Macaca fascicularis: one gene and its partners. The main gene of each other region encodes a partner of the protein of the gene in region 3 in a complex. Links are inferred from orthologs where the notes say so. Each region holds a gene or a part of one and is shown on either strand. Other genes may lie near its edges. The genes, in order: CPLX1, STX8 and VAMP2.

The links.
Region 1: the proteins of VAMP2 (region 3) and CPLX1 are in contact, whole or in part, in a crystal structure (PDB 1KIL), measured with the Rattus norvegicus proteins. The link is inferred for Macaca fascicularis from reciprocal best matches to the Homo sapiens genes VAMP2 and CPLX1. Residues at the interface, in NP_036795.1 of Rattus norvegicus: Arg47, Val50, Asp51, Leu54, Asp57, Gln58, Ser61, Asp64, Asp65, Asp68, Ala69, Gln76; in NP_074055.1 of Rattus norvegicus: Leu41, Arg48, Tyr52, Glu56, Arg59, Glu60, Met62, Arg63, Ile66, Arg67, Tyr70, Gly71, Ile72.
Region 2: VAMP2 (region 3) and STX8 share a complex: the UniProt entries of both Homo sapiens proteins name them as parts of the SNARE core complex. The link is inferred for Macaca fascicularis from reciprocal best matches to the Homo sapiens genes VAMP2 and STX8.

The regions. Positions count from the first base shown.
Region 1 is NC_088379.1:907,345-913,614, reverse strand, and holds the start of CPLX1 (complexin-1), read left to right. Parts: upstream 1-2,363; 5' UTR 2,364-2,423; intron 2,424-3,995; 5' UTR 3,996-4,074; coding exon 4,075-4,105; intron 4,106-6,270. UniProt on the Homo sapiens protein: Positively regulates a late step in exocytosis of various cytoplasmic vesicles, such as synaptic vesicles and other secretory vesicles.
Region 2 is NC_088390.1:9,660,345-9,666,614, reverse strand, and holds the start of STX8 (syntaxin-8), read left to right. Parts: upstream 1-2,163; 5' UTR 2,164-2,186; coding exon 2,187-2,203; intron 2,204-6,270. Other genes in the region: CFAP52 (cilia- and flagella-associated protein 52), read right to left, coding at 1,207-1,276. UniProt on the Homo sapiens protein: Vesicle trafficking protein that functions in the early secretory pathway, possibly by mediating retrograde transport from cis-Golgi membranes to the ER.
Region 3 is NC_088390.1:8,245,300-8,251,569, reverse strand, and holds VAMP2 (vesicle-associated membrane protein 2), read left to right. Parts: upstream 1-2,264; 5' UTR 2,265-2,343; coding exon 2,344-2,345; intron 2,346-2,860; coding exon 2,861-2,981; intron 2,982-3,464; coding exon 3,465-3,623; intron 3,624-3,706; coding exon 3,707-3,758; intron 3,759-4,366; coding exon 4,367-4,383; 3' UTR 4,384-6,074; downstream 6,075-6,270. UniProt on the Homo sapiens protein: Involved in the targeting and/or fusion of transport vesicles to their target membrane. Major SNARE protein of synaptic vesicles which mediates fusion of synaptic vesicles to release neurotransmitters.

The DNA of each region.
Region 1 (6,270 bases), on a different chromosome or scaffold from region 3:
TTAGCCGGGCGAGGTGGCGGGCGCCTGTAGTCCCAGGTACTCGGGAGGCTGAGGCAGGAGAATGGCGTAAACCCGGGAGGCGGAGCTTGCAGTGAGCTGAGATCCGGCCACTGCACTCCAGCCTGGGCGACAGAGCCAGACTCCGTCTCAAAAAAAAAAAAAAAAAAAAAAGAAAGAGAGAGAGAGACAGGCAGAAAGACTCAGTGACAGAGAGATACAGCGACAGAGAAAGAAGAGACAGAGACACAGAGATAGAGACTGAGACAGGCAAAAAGACACAGAGACAGATACAGTGACAGGGAAAGACGGAGACAGAGACAGAAAGATAGAGACAGAGAGACAGGCAGAAAGACACAGAGACAGAGAGATACAGCGACAGAGAAAGAGACAGAGAGAGAGAGGCAGAGGAAGACCGGGCAGAACGTAAGGCTGACAGAGGGTCTCTGTCCTCCGTGCCCCAGGCCCCAGCTCCCGGTGTGCTTGGAGCGCAGCCTGGCCTGGGTTACAGAACTGGAGAGGAGTCAGCCTAGGAGTCCAGTGCTGAAGCTCAGACCCCCGGACCCTTCTGCTGGGAGGAGCCTGCACTCCCTGCACCCCTATGCAGACTGCCCCAAAGGCACCAGCATCTCCCCTGCATGCAGCTTGCGCAGGTGGCAGGGTCAGTCGTGAGCCTGGCTCTGGGCTCAAGGGGTCCTCTCTGGGGTCACTGTCGGGGTGAGCTGTTGGGTTACCCACCCAGTTAGGGACGGAGGGAGAAAGTGCCAGGGCCAAGCAGCGACCTCTTTCCTGGACCCAAACATCTCACCCTTGCTGTCCCCTCCCAGGTCCTGAGGAGGCAGACTGAGCAGACCAGGCTGGGGCTCAGGTCAGGCCTCCAGGCATCGGGAAACAGAGAGTCCACTCCATAGCGTATCCAGCTGGAGGTGTGTGAGGACTGAGGCCTCGGACAAGGGGAGGTGGAGATGACCTGAAGGGCCATTGGGGGTCCAGGGGTCGCTGACAGGAAGGGGCCTGGGTGTACGTCCTGCCTCCTGTCCCTGGGCCCAACCTTCTGAGCCCACTTGGCTCAGATCCAAGGAGAGAGGAAGGGACGGTGCTGGGGGTGCCCACGCCAGGGAGGCTGAAGAGACCCCAGTCCTAGGGCATAGGTCCCCCTCCAGGAGGTTGCCTGTGAACCCCCAGGCCCATGCCCCTTCTCACTGCCTCTGGGAGCTCCCGTGGGCTCGGCCCTGGTGCCATCACCCTTCCCTCTCCCCCAGTGCTCCCTTCCTCTGCGGGGGATCCCCTGCCAGGTCAGCAGAGGAGTGGGGACGGGGCAGAGGCGCTGGGGCCAAGGCTGGGGGGTCCAGGCTTCTGAGTCCTCCTGAGCTCAGGCTAAACACGGGACACCGGAGGGGATGGGGCTGAGGGCGGGGGAGACACCGCATCCTCCCAGCGCCAGCGGACTCCCTGGGACTCAGCCGGGAGGGGACACTGACAAGTTAATGTGGCGGCCACCGGCAGCGGCCCCCACTCTCCACCCACCCCCACTCACCACCAGGAGCACAGGGCAGCTCTAGGGTCCCGGTGCGCCCCATCCCTCCCGCCACCCGGCGCCCGACATTGCACAGCAGGGACCCGACCGCAGGGCGGACCAGACCGAGAGCCGACCTTGCGGCGACCCTGCTCTCCCGCAGTGCCGCGTCGCCGCAGAGGAAATCCTGGGGGCCGGGGGAGGGGGCGGTGGGGTCTCCAGCCTTCGTCCCGCTAAAGGAAACAGCGACTCTGTTACACTGAAAGTCAGCCCAGGCCGACCTGCGGATCTCCCGCGGCGAGGGGCTTGGTGGGTTTTCAGGGGTCTGGGGGCCCCCTTCTCCCGCCCTGCGATGCGGGGAGGTCCGGGCAGAGGGCTCGGGGCGGCGGGCGGCGCTCAGGGGCACGGTCCCCGGAGAATGGGGGGGCAGCGACTCCCCCTAACCCCTGACCCCTCCGCCCGGGAGGCAGCGACTTCTCCGCCCGAGGGTTTCGCACCCATCGGCCCGGTGCGGACCCTGTAGGGAGCAGGCCCGCATGGTCGCCCGCATGGTCGGGCTCGGGGCGCGGGGGCAGGGCCGGGGGCGCCCAGATCAGGGGCGGGCAGGGGTCGCAGGCCCAGGCCGGGGAAGGTCGCACCCGGGCGGGGTTGGAAGGAGACGGGGGCGCTTCACTCGGATCCACCCCCGCTCCCGCCCCGCCCCCGCCCCCGCCCGGCGCCCGCGGCCCCGCCCCTCGGCGCTCCCCTCCCCCTGCTCGTCACGCTCGGACGCGGGCGGGGGGCGGGGAGCGCCTCCGAGTGACGCGCCCTCCTCGCTGTGCCCTTCAGCCGCCGCCGCAGCTCACCGGGCGCCACATGGACCCAGCCGGCCCGAGCGCGCCCCGCCGCTGACCGCCTGCGCCCCGGGAAGGTAACCGCGCCCCGAGCGCAGCGCCCGCCCGGTCTCCGCTCCCCGGGTCTCCCCCCGGCGCCGGTTTCTCCTCCCCGGCCCCGGCTTCTCCCCGCTTTTTCCCCCGGCCCCGGTTTCTCTTCCCCGGCCCCGGCTTCTCCCCTCTTCTCCCCCGGCCCCGGTTTCTCCTCTCCGGCCCCCGCTTCTCCCTCCGGCCCCGGCTTCTCTTCCCCGGCCCCCGTTTCTCCCCCCGGCCCCGGCTTCTCCTCCCCGGCCACCGCTTCTCCCCGCGGCCCCGGCTTCGCCCCGCGTCTCCCCCCGGCCTCCACTCCCCGGGTCTCTCCTCCACGGCCCCGGCTTCTCCCCCTCGCCCCGGCCTCTTCCCCCGGTCCCCGTTTCTCCCCCCGTCCCCGGCTTCTCCCTGCGGCCCCCGCTTTTCTCCCGGGCTCCGCGCGCGCTGGGTCCGGGGCGGGCGCTGTCCACTGCCGCGGTGCTGAAGCGGCCCCCGCGGTCCCGGCCCGTGCCCGGCCTCCTCCTCGCTTCTTCCTGTCTCCGAGGCTCCCCCTCTCCTCCCTCGCCCTCTTTCTTTCCTCTCCTGGCGCGCTCCCGCCTGAGGGCCGCTCGCCCGCCCGCAAAGCCGAAGGGTGCGGGTGCGGCGGGGCTGGAGCCCTGCGGGTGTGCGGGGCCCGGCAGTGCCCTTCTTCCCCGCGCCGCGGGAGCCAGGGGAGAAGTTTGGAGGAGAATCGGCGCTGCGGCAAAGGCTCCGAGGGGCGCTCCCCACCCGCCGCCCTCCCAGTCCGCGCGCGAGTCTCCTTCCTCTGCGGAGAGCGGGGGGGTGAACCGTCTAACAGTGTCTCTCCAGGGACCTGTGTTTCCCTGACAGGAGAGACCCCACAAACGCGGGGGGCGCACTGCGGCTGCTGTGATTTCAGAAAGCGCTTCCCAAGAGGGGACCAGAGCGCCCCACCCCACCCCATGCACATCTCGGGAGGCGGGAGTGCTCGGTCCCCGTTCCCATGTGTTCCCGGAAGGCTGATCCCCCTGAAGTTTCTCCCCAACCCCGATCTCTTCTACGTGGGTCATGTGGGGGACACACTGACTGCAGTGCCATCAGGGATAGGGTGACCCAAGCCTGCCTGGTCAGAAGCCACAGGAGCCCGCCCTGAAGGGCAGCCGCTCAAAGACCCACCCCCAACCCTTCTCCACTGCCCTGGGCTCCGGACCACCAAGGAGGCGCTGCTCCAGACACGGAGCTGCAGAGCAGAGCAGTCACCTTCAAACGCCCCCTGGGCCCCGCCCCTGCTTCCGCAGCCTGGCGCCAGGCGCCTCTGAGCGTTACCCCCTAAGCTGTCAGCAGCCCTCCCTGCAGGGGCTTCAGACACCCCAGGAGCTGGGGAGACCACTTTCAGGTCCTCTGGGGTCCTGGTTTGGGTGTGGGGACAGAAACCCCTCACGAACGGACTTCCCAAGCAGCCGCTCCTGGTGGGGAGGGTCCAGCCCACAAGGTATTAGGGGGACACGAATGATGGTCTCTGGGGAAGGCCAGGCAGAGGCCTGCTCAGGGTGACCCGTGACCACTTCACTCTCCCCCAGGAAGAACACTCACTCCTGGCCACACTCGCATGTGAGTTCTGACCCTTGGAGGAGCCGCTGTGGAATCAGAGCAATCGCCATGGAGTTCGTGATGAAGCAGGCCCTGGGAGGTAGGAAGCAGGAGGTGGGGTGGGGAGGGGCTGAGGGGCCGGGCCGCTGGGACAGGCAGACATGGAGAGACCACCACACCAGCTGCTCCTCAAGCGGTCCACCGCAGCAGCGCCACGGCAGCCACACAGCCACCAACTGTGTGGAGGAGCCTGGGGCCTGGGGCAGAGGAGCAAGGACCGTGCCCAGCAGCGCCTGGGGCAGAGGAGCAAGGACCGTGCCCTGCAGCGCCCCCAGCCCGGCCCTTTTCGTGTCCCTGAGACAGAACTGGTGTCCCTGGCGGGATAGGGGCTGCCCTGTAAGCTCACTCTGCCCCGCTGCTGTGGTCGGGGCAGAGCCCATGGACCACGCTGATGCAGGTCCTAGGGGAGGGTGGACACCCTGGTGTAGGCTTTGCAGGGCCAATTCTAAGTGGCCAGGCTAGGCAGCCCCCAAGGGGGCTTCCTTTGGGTGAGGAGGGCCCAGCGGTGGGAGAGCAGGATGCAGGCGGCGGCCTCAGGGACAGGTGTGGGGACAGAGCTGGCCTGTGCATTTGGTGAGGACTCTGTGGGTTTCACTTGGGTGAGGCAGTGCTGTCCTCAGGGAGCCAGGGCTTGCTGGTTACAGGAGCAAAGGAAAAGGCCCAGAACAACTTGTGTGTCTTGACCGCCTCCCAGGAGGGACGTGCAGCCTTTTTTGTGTGTACTGGGGTGGGGGCAGGCCCCCTTCCAACCTGCTGTCTGCTATTTGAAAGGAACCTCGTCCCCACTTCATTGTGGCCAGAGACCATGCCAAGGGCAGCGGCTAAGTCCCTAGTCCAGGAGGTGGGCAGAGCCTGGGCCATACTGGTACAGACATGTCCCAGCAGAGCTGATGGGGTCAACTTAGGCCTCAGGGCTGTCCTGGCGAGTCTCAGTTTTGCTCAGAGCCATCCATCTTATGTTCCCCCAGCTCCTTGGTGCAGCACCAGTGCCCAGAACTCCTGTGAAGGGAACCTGTGGCCAGTGCCCGATTCTACCACTGGAGACACCTTACTTGGGTGGCCTCCACAGGGGAGTATCCTGACCTGATGCCGTTCACACCTTGGTGTGAGTCAGGCCGCCTGGAGCATTTCTGCAGTGGGGGAGCCAGCTGGGTTCGAGGGGCCAGGGACAAGGGTGGACAGAGGGCAGGTGCCGCTTCCCCCAGGACAGGAGCTGCCTGCCTGGCTGTCTCCTGGTGGGTGACTGTGCTTCCACTCAGCACAAATTAAATGAAAAGATGTTGAGCCTGGCCTGGGGCCACATCCTGGAGATTTCGTGGTCAAGGGTAAGCTGCAGGTTGAGTCTAATTATAATGATTGCGTCACCGGGCCGTGATTCAGGGACTAGCCTGCATCTGCGCTGGGAGGGACGCACGTTCCACCCCGGGAGTCCCAGACTGTTACAGATAATTAATTAGGTGGCTAATTCAGGCCCTGAGGTGGGCTTGTAAGAAAACTGAAATATCTTATTTGGCTGTCTGCATGACTGAAATTAGCTGGGTAATTACCAGCCTGAATTCCCTTTTTGTTTCATGGCAGCCCAAAGTTTCTCCTGCAGCAGCAACGGGGCAGGCATCACTCAGCGTGGTGGAGCTGAGAGGGGGCAGCCGGCGGACCCCAGGGGGTTCCACGCTGAGTGCTGCCTAGAGCACCCCACATTGGCTTTGCAGAGCACGTGAGGCTCGGAGCCAGCACTGCTGAGGGTGGGAGCTGGTGGGGGTTCCCAGGCGAGACCTTGTTTTCTGCCTCTGTGCCTCTGTCCCTTACCCGGCGAGCCTCATCGTTGCTGTCTCAGGATGCGTGTGAGTGAGACAGAGTGAGACAGAGATGGAAAATGGGGGGACCTCCAGACAGCACGACAGAGCTTGGCAGAGACCCCAAGAGAAGTACTGAGAAACACACCAAGCCCCGGACACAAAGAAACTGGCAGGTGAGGGAGCAGGAGGCACCCGGGAAGCCGTTCAGAGAGAGGCAAACCCAGAAACAGGGTCAGGGAGGGGGGAGCTGGAGAAAGAAAATGACAGCCCAGAAACAGAGACAGAGAAAAAGACAAATGTGTTATTCAGCACGCACAGGGCCAGACAGGTGAAAACAGAAGGCACGTCAGAGACAGAGAGGGGGGGAGACAGAGGCAGAGAGAGGGGGAGACAGTGGGGAGAGGGAGAG
Region 2 (6,270 bases), about 1.4 Mb from region 3:
GGGATTACAGGTGCCCGCCACCACGCCCGGCTAATTTTTGTACTTTTAGTAGAGATGAGGTTTCACCATGTTGACCAGGCTGGTCTCGAACTCCTGACCTCAAGTGATCCACCGCCTCGGCCTCCCAAAGTGCTGGGATAACAGGCATGAGCCACTGCCCCTGGCCTCAGTTGCAGAGTTCTCTGTGTGTGGTTCTATATTGGCTTAACAAATGACGCTTTGCAACTCACTGTAGGCTGCTCAATTCTTTCTCAATGATGTTGTAACCAGCTCTCAAGATATCTAATGTCCGAAATGTATAAAGCACTCACTTTCTATCGGAGACTGTTAAAGTAAAACCAAGAGTCAAGAGCTAAGTCCTAGAGTACGCTTAAAACTTTAAACAGTGATTGTTCGGCATCCACATTCTTAAAGCTTTCAGGCATCACAACACACATTTTTGAAAAGTTTTGTTTCTCCTAAAATCATTCATTGTTTTCTCATCCCTCAAAAAACCAAAACCCCTCAAAACGAACAATAAAACCCCACAGCTTTTCCCTCCCAGAATCTTCAAAACAATAGGCAGTCACAAATAAGATTTCAGCGGAGTGTCCCAGACCCTTTTTCTCTCCGCTTCAGCTCCCCCTGACGTCCCCTTCCCTTCTGTCCTGGTCTGAAATCCTCACCATTTAGAAACCTTCCTTAAGATTAGAGGACCAAGATCATCCCTCAGGGGGTTGCTCAAACACACGTTCCGTCCTAGCCCCTTCTCACGGGTACGCCAGTTGGGATTTTAGCAGATTTCCTAGCTAGTCCCGGGGCCGACACAGACAGCATCCTTCTGTGTGGTTACGAAGGAGCCTAGGGCTTTGTGGGCGGCGTAGAGCTCAGAGCCAGGAAGGGCTGACCTAGTGGCAGAAGGGTTACAACCACCCGTACCCATCCGGCCCGCCTGGGGAGGAGGCATTTGGTCCCTTTTAGGAGCTGGCGCTTGTCAGAGCTGGTAAAAACCATCCCACTCCCTGAGGCTCTCGGATCGAGGAAGTGACTCTCCAAGGCCTTGGGGAGGGTCAGGCTATGCGGGTCCTCCGTGTGTGTCCCTGCCCAGGGCTCCTGCCGTTGTCCCACACTGAATTTCAGGTGTCCCCGGTGTCTCACTATTCCTGTTTGCACTACAGGTCCTCCGAGTTCCTAAACCAGCCAGCCCAAAGATGCTGGAGGCCTCACCATTGAAGCCGATCACGGCGTCAAGTTCCAGCTCCGCCACTTGGGCCTCCGGCGAAATTTTGTTATCCATCCCTGGGAGGTTCTGCTTACTTTGCTCTCCGCCCTAGTGGGTGCAGCGTCTTCTGGTCGTTATGGTAACGGACGAGCGCATGCGCGCCAGCTCCACGCCCGCGCAGAAACCCAGCCTGCCGAATTCGAGTTCATTAGCATTCTTGGAAATGAAGGGAGATAGGGACTGGGAGGGAGATAGGGTGGGATTCATCTTTTTTGTGTCTGCTGTTTCTCTGGAAATTTAGGAGATGGCACTAACTGCACAGAACTAATTCCTCCATCCCCTCGTGTTGAGTCTGTGACTTCTTAGTAACTCTAAAATCAAGCACCAAATGAATGGCATTTTTAAAAATATGTAATCAAGCATAGAGGACTGATGGGAAGGCTGCTATAAAATAAATAAATACATAAATATATATATAAAATTGATACTTCTTTGGGCCCCTGTTTAAAGCAGCGTGAAAAAATATTTTAAATATATTTTTAAAAAGCGTTATTGAGGTATAATTTACATATCATAAAGTTAACTTAAAGTAGGTTGTAGTAAGTTTACGAAGTGTGCAAGTCGCACCGCAATCTAGTGTTTTGTTTGTTGTTTTGTTTTTTTGAAGCAGGATAAATTTTTAAGTAACTGCTACGGAGGTCTTGCAAGCGCTCCCACCTTCCTGGGAAAATGGTTAGTTTCTATTTAACAATTTTAACTGAGCTCAGCTGTTCGCGTCTCTTAGTGGGAGTAGATTGCGCCAGCCAACTGTTCCCAGGGGAGCACTTTCCTTTCTCTGATCATGGTTCTTAGGCTCTAGTTATTCACTTTGCAAACTCCAGGCTCCGGTCGCGCACGGGACGAACTGCGGGGAGTGAGCCGTGCGGGCCGCCGTAGTCAGCTGCTAAGAGCAGGAAGAGTCCGAGCGGCGGGCGGAGTCTGCAGGATGGCACCGGACCCCTGGTGAGCCCAGGGTGAGGGTGGCGGTGCGCGGAGGGACCTTCGGGGAAGCCGGGCTTCCGGGGAGCAGGCGATCACTTCGCATTGCCCCTGGAGGCCTTTCGAGATGAGGGGAGGGGCAGCGAGACCCTTCCTCTACTGAGGGGACTCAGCCACATCCCGCCACCCTTGGTCCTTCCAAGGGTAGCTGGGGAAGGAGACCGGGTGGTCAGCTGGAGAGCTGAGGATTTGAGCCAAATCTCTGAATATTTCTCTAGCTTTTCTGGGCTGCATCTCGCTGCGGGGATTTCCCGCCCATCCTGGTTGTGGAGCTGGCCGGTGCAGGCTTCCTTGGACTCCTATAAAAGTGAAGTCGAAATAACCTTTTTGTAGCATGTCTGTCCATCTCGGTAAACCCCCTTATTTCACAGGTGGAGAAACCGAGGTTCAGAATCCATGGTCACCAGCCAGTTAGTAACCAGCTGGGTCTAAGACCTAGATCCTGGGGGCCCTTCCAGATACAGGAACCTGGGAGGGAAATTGTGCGCTTGTTTATAAGGCATTTTGCACTTTCTTGAGTTAATATCATGAAGTCTTTTCCTTTAGCAGTAGCTTCTGCAGTAAAACAATAGGTGATAAGGGTCATTTATTTAGCAGTCAATCCCAAGGACTGCTTGATGAAAGATGTAACTTTTGATCTCAAGGAACATATTGTTTGATCCCAAGGAACATATTGTTATTGAACATAGACTTGACCTTTCTGCTTAATAATTAAAAACATTACAGCTCTATAACGTTCTTGTTGGAATATATGTCTTATGTTGTTATTTCTAATATAGTTTATAATTCTTTAAGTTACCCTCAGCCTGGATGTTAGAAGAATGGGTTCCAAGAACAAAGTTGAGTTACCTGGAATCTAGGTTATTTGGGTCAATTATTTAATTTAGCATTGACCTTTTTAGACCTAATTTTAGGCCGGACGCGGTGGTGGCTCACGCCTGTAATCCCAGTACTTTGGGAGACCGACGCAGGTGGATCACCTGAGGTCGGGAGTTCGAGACCAGCCTGACCAACATGGAGAAACCCCCTCTCTACTAAAGATTACAAAATCAGCTGGGCGTGGTGGTGGGTGCCTGTAATCCCAGCTACTCAGGAGACTGAGGCAGGAGAATCGCTTGAACCCGAGAGATGTAGGTTGTGGTGAGCTGACATAGCGCCATTGCACTCCAGCCTGGGCAACAAGTGCGAAACTCCGCCTCAAAAAAAAAAAAAAAAAAAAAAAAAACCAAAAAACCCAAATCCCTAATTTTAACAGTTATATACACCCCTTGATAGAGAATATCTAATTTAGAGAATATTGAAAATTTGCAGAGGAAAATAAATAGCATCTTTAACTCTATAATTTGGAAATAGCCATTGTTTAATTTTTAACAATGAATTTGTTACTTTAATCTGTATTTTATATATAGTAAAACAGCATTTCTCTATGTCATTGGACATTCTTTGAAAACATAATTTTCTTTCTCTCTCTTTTTTTTTTTTTTTGAGATGGAGTCTTGCTCTGTCACCCAGGCTGGAGTGCAATGGCATGATCTTGGCTCACTGCAACCTCCACCTCCCGGGTTCAAGCAACTCTCCTGCCTCAGCTTCCAGAGTAGCTGGAACTACAGGCTCATGCTGCCACACCCAGCTAATTTTTTGTATTTTAGTAGAGACAGGGTTTCGCGGTGTTGCCCAGGCTGATCTCGAATTCCTGAGCTCAGGCAATCTGCGTGCCTCGGCCTCCCAAAGTGCTGTGATTACAGGTGTGAGCCACCACACCCGGCCTCATAATTTTCTAATGTTGCATAATAATGCATCACATGAATGACCATAATTTATTTTTCTCCTCATATTAGTTTTTTGGTTTTTTGATGTTTTGTTTTGTTTTATGATTGCAAAGGCAGTTCCTTTGTTCCATCTCTTATTTCCTTGGGCTCCCTGTCTAGAAGTAGGAATTAGAACTGTTGAAAGTGAAAGCATTTATTTTTTTTTTTGTTATTCTCAATTAGTTTGACTAAGTGGCTTTCTCATTAGATTGTTGAAAGTGAGGGCTGAAGGGTACGAACATTTTTAAGGCCCTTGATACTGTGAACCCCAAAGTATCTGAGACAGGACTCAATCAATTTAGAAAGTTTATTTTGCCAAGGTTAAGAATGCACCCGTGTGGATCACGAGGTCAGGAGTTCGAGACCAGCCTGGCCAACATGGTGAAACCCCGTCTCTACTAAAAATACAAAAAAAATTAGCTGAGCGTGGAGGCACGCGCTGTAATCCTAGCTACTTGGGAGGCTGAGGCAGGAGAATCGCTTGAACCTGGGAGGCAGAGGTTGCAGTGAGCCGAGATTGCGCCACTGCACTCCAGTCTGGGCGATAGGGCGATACTCTGTCTCAAAAAAAAAAATAATAATAATAATAACAAATGCACCCGTGACACAGCCTCAGGAGGTTCTGAAGACCTGTGCCCAAGGTGGTTGGGGAACAGCTTGCTTTTATACAATTTAGGAAGAATAATACATGAGTTAATACATGTGAGATTTATGATGGCTCAATCCAGAAGGGCGGGACACCTTGAAGGGGGTGGGGGAGGCTTCAAGGTCATAAGTAGTTTGAAAAATTTTCTGATTGGCAATTGGTTGACTTATTATCAATAGAAAGGAATGTCTGGGTTATGATAAGGGGTAGTGGAGACCAAGATTTTATCATGCAAATGAAGCCTCTGGGTAGCAGGCTTTAGAGAGAATAGATTGTAAATGTTTCTTATCAGACTTAAGACCTGTTTCAGGTTAACTTTGGAATGCCCTTGCCTGGGGGGTGGGATCCATGCAGATGGTTTATTTTTGGTTTACAATACATATTCCTAAATTGCCCTCCACCTTCTTTAAAAACCTATAAAAGGCCAGGTGCGGTGGCTCATGCCTGTAATCCCAGCACTCTGGGAGGCTGAGGCAGGCAGATCACAAGGTCAGGAGTTTGAGACCAGCCTGACCAACGTGATGAAACCCCCTCTTTACTAAAAATGCGAAAATTAGCTGGGCATGGTGGTGCACGCCTGTAATACCAGCTACTCAGGAGGCTGAGGCAGGAGAATCACTTGAACCTGGGAGGCAGATGTGCAGTGAGCTGAGATCGCACCACTGCACTCCAGCCTAGGTGACAGAGTGAGACTCCATGTCAAAACAAAGCAAAACAAACAAACAAACAAAAAACCTATAAAAACAGATTCAACTACAGTTTTACCTTTGTGTTGCTAAAGTCATAGGTCATTGGCACCTCCCTCAGTGTTTAGAAATGGAATAGAGCAGTTACTATTTTAATGGCCTATCAAAACAAGTGGTAAGCTGGCTGTTTAACAGAAGTAGCACATGATACTGTCTCTAAACTGGTTCTTTGCTAATGTTAATTAGCTTTACCGTCAGGGTAACTTATTTGTTGATGATATACCGTTTCCAGAAAAATTACACTTAAACCTTAATAGTTTTATATTCCTGACTGGACTTTTTATGTTGGTAGCATGGTCTTCTTTTTGTTGATTTGCTTTTTAAAAACTTTATTTTGGAAGGTAAAAGATACACAAACTAGAATAGTACAATGGGCCCCTTCCATACTCACCACCCAATTTCTGTAATTATCAATATTCTGCCATTCTTGTTTCATCTCTGCCCTCCACACCTTTTTTTTTTTTTTTGAGACAGAGTCTTGTTCCGTTGTCCAGGCTGGAGTGCAGTGGCACGATCTTGGCTCACTGCAGCCTCTGCCTCCTGAGTTCAAGTGATTCTCCTATCTCAGCCTCCCAAGTAGCTGGGATTACAAGCACCCGCCACCACACCCGGCTAATTTTTGTGTTTTTAGTAGAGACAGGGTTTCACCATGTTGGCCAGGCTGGTCTTGAACTCCTGACCTCAGGTGATCCCCCATCTTGACCTCCCAAAGTGCTGGGATTACAGGTATGAGCCACCACACCCGTGCCTGGCCCAGATTATGTTTTTTTTTTTTTTTTTCTTTTTTTTAGACGAAGCCTCTCTTGTCTCCCAGGCTGGAGTGCAGTGGCG
Region 3 (6,270 bases):
TACCTGCCTGCAGAACACATTCTCTCAGTCACTTCCAGGTGAACACTGTCATCCCACTCCTTCCCCCACCTCCACCATTGATCTAAACTTGGGGAGTTCCTTTGAGCCACAGCCTAGGTGGGGTGGGGTGGGAACGGGCTGCTGGGTGAGAGCCCCCTCTCTGAGATGAATCCTCCTGGGCCTCTCATCTGCGTGGGTCACACATGCCCTCATTTCTACTCTGCTGCTGCCGCCCCCACAATCCAATAGCAATAGCACGACCCCTGGCCTTGACAGTGTATCTGGGGCTCTGTCCCTTCCATATCACCCCCAAACCAGCATCAAATGTCTTGCCTGGCCCTGCACTAGGCTCCCCCCAGTTAGTGCAGGGTGTCCAACTGGGGGCGGAAGGGCTTCCTGTGCCTGCCTCTTCCAATCCTCCCTGTCTTATTTATAACCAGACAGACACTGAAGCTTTTGAACTTAAAAGGCTGGAATTTGGCATCTTTGTTCTCTGACTAGAAAGCAGAATCATCTCAAGACCAAAAAGCAGGAGCCAGCATCCCATAGCATGATCTGAGACCCCCATGGAAGCTGCTCTTTTCTTTCTCATCACATAGGCTGAGCCACCCGGGACTGTCAGTGCACAAGGATCAGGGATGCGGCTGCTCCTCTGAGTGGGAGGAAGCCAAGAGTATCTTCTCTTAGATTGGGCTGAGTTCCCACACCCAGCACACACATTCCCTGCTCACTCACCTCCCCCAGACAGCTGGGAAATGACACCTCTGGTGACAGAGCCAGTCCCCGGGCTTCTGTGGGGAGGGAGTGGGGCACTGCAGTGGGGGAGTATCTCACACCCGGAGGCCCTGGGAAGCCAGGGTGGGGGAGGGACGAAGCTGGTTCCTGTTTGTCTCAGAGATCAAGGCCATCAGCCTCCCTGCACCTTCCAGGGATGTAGTAAGCACCCCCACCCCAGGTTCAAAGGGCCTCGCCTAAAATGCCTCCTGTACCCTTGAGGCTTGCTTTGATCCCCTGCACTCCACCAGAGCGACAGCTCCCCTGGTCCCATCTTCTCTGACAAGCTGGGTGGGAGTGTAGACAGCCTCTGGGTGTGCTTAGAGGGCCTAATGGAGATAGGGATAATCTTCCATGTTATCCACATCAAGCCATTTAACGAATATGGATTTAGTATCTACATATGCAATGTATTTGGGGTCCAGAGAGAGGACGGCAACTGTCCAAGGTCACACCTGCGAGGCGAATACGCATGTAAAGCAGCACCTTGTAAACTGTACCCACTGTGCCTACTACTAAAGAAAAAAAAATGAGAGAGAAAAAAGCCTTTTGGTCCCTGTGCCTGGGACCAAAGCCTGAGCCCTCTCCTGCAGTTGGGGTCGCTGACCCAAGCCTGGGGCAAAGCTAGGTCTTGGCCAGTCAGCAGCCACCACGTGAAGCAGCCCCTGCCCCCATCAGCCCCGGCTGCCTTGTGCCCTCCTCCTCGGGGTCTTCAGCTCACCCCACCTCAGTCGGGCCTGCTCCAGCTGTTAAGTACCCCTGGTCTGAACCTCAATCGTGAGGCGGGGCACCCCCCTCCTCACACCCTGTAGACACTCCCCGGTCCTCCACCCCCGGGACTTGTTTCGGCAGGAAGAGCCTGCCTCATCTTTTCTTCCCACCCTCCTACCCAGTGGCCTGGGATCGCAGGCTTCCTCTGAGACATCCACCAGCGGGGTGATGGGTTGAGACCAACCTCCTCCACTCCCCTCCACCCTAGCAGCAGGGTCCCCGCTCTCGATATTGCCCCAGCGCCTGTACTGGCCCTCTCTGATTTCCCAACCCCAGCCCATTCCCAGTGCTGAAGGCGGGTCGCTAGGTGCTGGGACCTGGGCGCGGGGCGAGACCTTGGGCTGTGTGGGATGCAGGCTGGCTTATTGGGTTCACGATTCAGGGAGTGGTCTGGGGGTTAGGTGCGGGGCCAGGCTGCTGTGTGCCCTAAGGGGCAGGTGGCAAGAGGTTTGGGGGCGGCTGTGGAAGGCTGTGCTCAGACAGGGCGGGGTGACGGTGGGTTTAGGGAAGCCGCAGCAACCCGCCTGGTGGTCCCGTGAGTGCCCAGAGAGCTGCCGGGGCACGGTGGCGCCAGACCCGCAGTCCCGCCGGGCACGACCCCAGTCCCGCAGCGCCCCGCCCCCGCGGCCCCGCTCCCGACGCGTCGCCCGCGGCGCCCCGCCCCCGCCCGCAGTGCCCGGATGCGGGTGACGCGCGGCCGCCATCTTTCCGTCCCGGGCAGCCAGCGCCAGTCGGAGCCAGCGCGAGTTGCCGCCGCCATCACTGCTGCTGCCAAGTCCTCCACCCGCTGCCCCCACCATGTGAGTCGGCCGCCCGCCACCCTCACCGCGCTTCCCTGCACCGGCCGCCGCCCTTGGCAACCGGCCGTGGGGAGTGCCCGGGGTCTCTCCCGCGTTCCCCGCGCCCCGGGGCCAGGCCCAAGCCGGTGACTGCGCGCGGGCGGCCGAGAAGCCCAGCGTCTCGGGCTGGCCGGCTCGAGCGATGGCCGCAGGAAGGAGCGGACCCTGTGTCCTCCTGCCGCGCCCCGCCCCTGTCACCGCGGCCGCCTGTCTTTTCGGGTCGACCCCGATCACATCTGTGAGGTCGCCCTCATTTGACAGGCGGGGAAACTGAGGCCGGGGGGAGGGGAGGCCTCGCTCAAGGTCACGCAGCTCATCGGTGGCGAGGCTGGACCTGGACCAGGGCTTCCATCGGGTGGCCTTCCTCCCGAAAAGGAGGACTGGAGGGACGAGGATGGACAGGTGGATGGGCGGAGCCCTGGCTGCAGGGCCGGGAGACTGCAGGCCCTGGGTCTTAATCCGTCCCTGCTCCTCAGGTCTGCTACCGCTGCCACGGCCCCCCCTGCCGCCCCGGCTGGGGAGGGTGGCCCCCCTGCACCCCCTCCAAACCTCACCAGTAACAGGAGACTGCAGCAGACCCAGGCCCAGGTGGATGAGGTGAGTGTGGGGGGAGTCAAAAGCAGTAGAAAGGACCCTGGGGGTTGGCGTTTAGGTGTAGGGGCCCATGTTGGTTTGGGAGTGATGACAGTTCACGCCTGTGGGTTTGCGGACAAAGATACCTTGCCCCATCCGTGTCTCCCTGTCAGCACGCACTTGGAAGGGTGCTGGGGGTGTTAATCAGCTTTGCTAGCCTGGGGTGTGCCAGCCTAGGCAGGTGTGCTCTGGTGATGGACAGAGCGCCTGAGGCGCCATAGAGGGAGGGTGTTGCTATGATATCTGAGATGTCACCAGTAATCCCCTGATGTGTGCTCCTTGCATGTCCCCAGGTGTGCTAGGCATGTACTGTGTGTGTCCTTGGCATGTTAACCTGGCAGCATCAGGGTGCATGTTCCATGTGTGGCACGGTGGGCACATGTTTGAGGATTACCCTCATGAGGTGGGCCTTGGCACACCCCCTTGCCCCGTGGGCCCTTCTCCCAGGTGGTGGACATCATGAGGGTGAACGTGGACAAGGTCCTGGAGCGGGACCAGAAGCTGTCGGAGCTGGACGACCGTGCAGATGCACTCCAGGCAGGGGCCTCCCAGTTTGAAACAAGTGCAGCCAAGCTCAAGCGCAAATACTGGTGGAAAAACCTCAAGGTAAGGATGGGGACAGGAAGGAGGACTGGCGGGTGAATGGGGTATCATAGTTAGTCTCGCTGATCCTCTCCTCTCACCCCCAGATGATGATCATCTTGGGAGTGATTTGCGCCATCATCCTCATCATCATCATAGGTGAGTAGGCTGGCAATGGCCGGGGCCCTTTCCCTGGAGAGGTTTCCCCAGTGGATTCTGGGTTTTGAAGGTCATTAACCTAGTTTTTACTCTTCAGCCAAAAACACATATAGCTGCTAATGGCAATTCTGATTCACCTAGAGCCAAAAACTTTGATGTTATTTAGCCTGCATTTTGCCTGGTTCTTGGCAGTTTTGTTAACATTTAGAAATATAAAAGTTGGTGTATCCATTGAGGACCCTTTGGGCCTAAGAGCCCAATCTGAGAGCCCTGGAATTGAGGAGTGGGAGAAAGGAAAGGCCCAGGGGCTTGAGACATGACCAGGAAGCCAACCACCCCATTATTTGAGAGCTTGTGGCCTCAGGCTCAGAGGATTAGGGTATGTGGCCTCAAGGCCATACCATGGAACTGAAGGGACCTCATAACCTACCTGTCTAACCCCTTGCTTTGTAGATGGAGAAACTGAGTCCAAGAGAGGGGTAGGGGTGCCAGCCAGCTGGGGAGTGGGGAGGATTGGAGCAGGGCCAGGCCTGACACACTGCTTTCTTTCTTTCTCCCTCTCTCCCTCCCCTCTCCCTCTTCCTCATCTTCTTCCCCTCTCTCCACAGTTTACTTCAGCACTTAAATCCCTGAGGAGTCTGCCCTGCCTAAAGAAGGGCCTCTCCCCCCACCCTCAGCCGTTCCTCCACCTCTCAGCCATATCTTTCAGCCCCCCTTCCCTGGATCCGTGCGTGTGTGTGTCCGTGTGTGTGTCCCCCTGTAAATAGCCAGCTGTTATTTATACATATATAATATTATATATATTTGGTCTGTTTGTAGTTTTATTACTAGAAGATTTTTCTGGTTGTCCTTAACACCCCTTCCTGAGGTTCCCTTCACCTCCTCTCTCTTGCCTGCCTTCCCTTTCCCTTTCTTCCTGACTAGCCCCAAGTCCCTTCATTTGCATCTGCTATGCAATAGTCCCTCTCCTCTCCTTCTTCTTCCCTCAGATTTAGCTGATCCTTCCCCCCACCCTGGCCTTCCTTTCCTCCTCCCTCTCCCGGTCATGCTCCCTCTGCCCCGCCCTCAAAAAAGACCACAAAAAACAAAAAGCATCTGTCCAGGCTTCCTTAGGTGCATCTTGTTTGCATCCAATGGGAGGCTCTGAGACTGGCCCCACTTGGTCCTAAGAATCCCAAGGTCTTTGGGAGTGTCCAGCATGTTAAGTAGCGTATCATTACATACTGCCATCCCTTTCCATTTCTTTTTGTTCCATCACTCTTCTCTCAACTGGTGTTTCTTTTTTTACTGAGGAGTTAGTCCCCATTAGTCCTTGTATCACATTTTCATTTGCACGACATTACTTGCAGATGGTGGGGAGCCTGGGCTTTTGGGGGACCAGGCTGCTCTGTCCTCCAGCATTGCCTCTTCCTAGCTCTTCTAGTCCAGTTTGCCTCCCTTACCCTCATTTTCCAAACCTCTTGTACCCTCTCCCTCCCCCAGCTGGTATGTAAGTGTCTTGGAGTTCAGTATGTTATGATGGACCAATAATTCTGCCACTTGGGGATTCTCCCCACATTCCTGCTCCCCAGTTTTCATGTGGGGCACTCAACTGACATTCCCATGGGGTTTCCCTCCCATCTGCCTGATCCACCTCCTCCTCCCACTAGGAGAGTTGGGGGTTGGCCACAATTGATCTCTTTTGGGAGGGGTGGCTACCAGTGTGTGGGGGGTCATCACTGCCTTGGGGAGGAGTGGGGCAGGGCAGAGAATCCCCCCAATTCCTGCCTGAAATCTCTGGCCTCACCCCTGCTGGGGGCAGGACTGAAAACCCTCCTCCTCAATTTGGGGGGTGTTGCCCCCATCACTTCCCAGCTCCTCTGACTTCCCCCACCCCCGAATTTAGGGTGGGGTACTAGTCACTGCCAATGTGTGCATGGGACTTGCTGGAATATGGGGATGCTTGCCCCTCTCCAGGGCTATTGAGCCCAGAGAGAGCTGTCTTTTCATTGGGTGAAGTGATTGAGGAAGGGTCTATTGTCTTTTTAAATGGCACAATTTTAAGGGTCTGAGGGTACAGTCCCTTAACCTGCCACGGGAGGGGGCCCCCAAACTTTCTTCCCCCCACACTTGAGGTTTTCTGTGTGGAGGGGGAGCAGGGATATCTAAGCTGTGGTGTGAAAGGGTAGGAGAGATGCTGGGGGCGGGGGTGCTGTGTTCTAGACCCCCCATATTATCCCAGTGTCCCCTGCCCCCTTCTTCCCCCACCCCATGCCCCCAATTCTGTGGCGCATCCAGATTGTGAAAATGTACAATAAATGTGTAATGAGTAACCAAGTGTTGTCTGTTCTAAGATCTTTTTTATTTTTTCTATTTTTTTTTTTTTTTTTTTTTGGTGCGGGGAGAATAAGATATTTTCTTAACCAATGAGAAGAATATTGGATCGGAAGGTATAGCAGGAAGCTTGAGAAGATACATTGGTAAAGGACTGGATTTGGCAAGAGGCCCTGACCTTGGGCAGGGCAAAATGTGA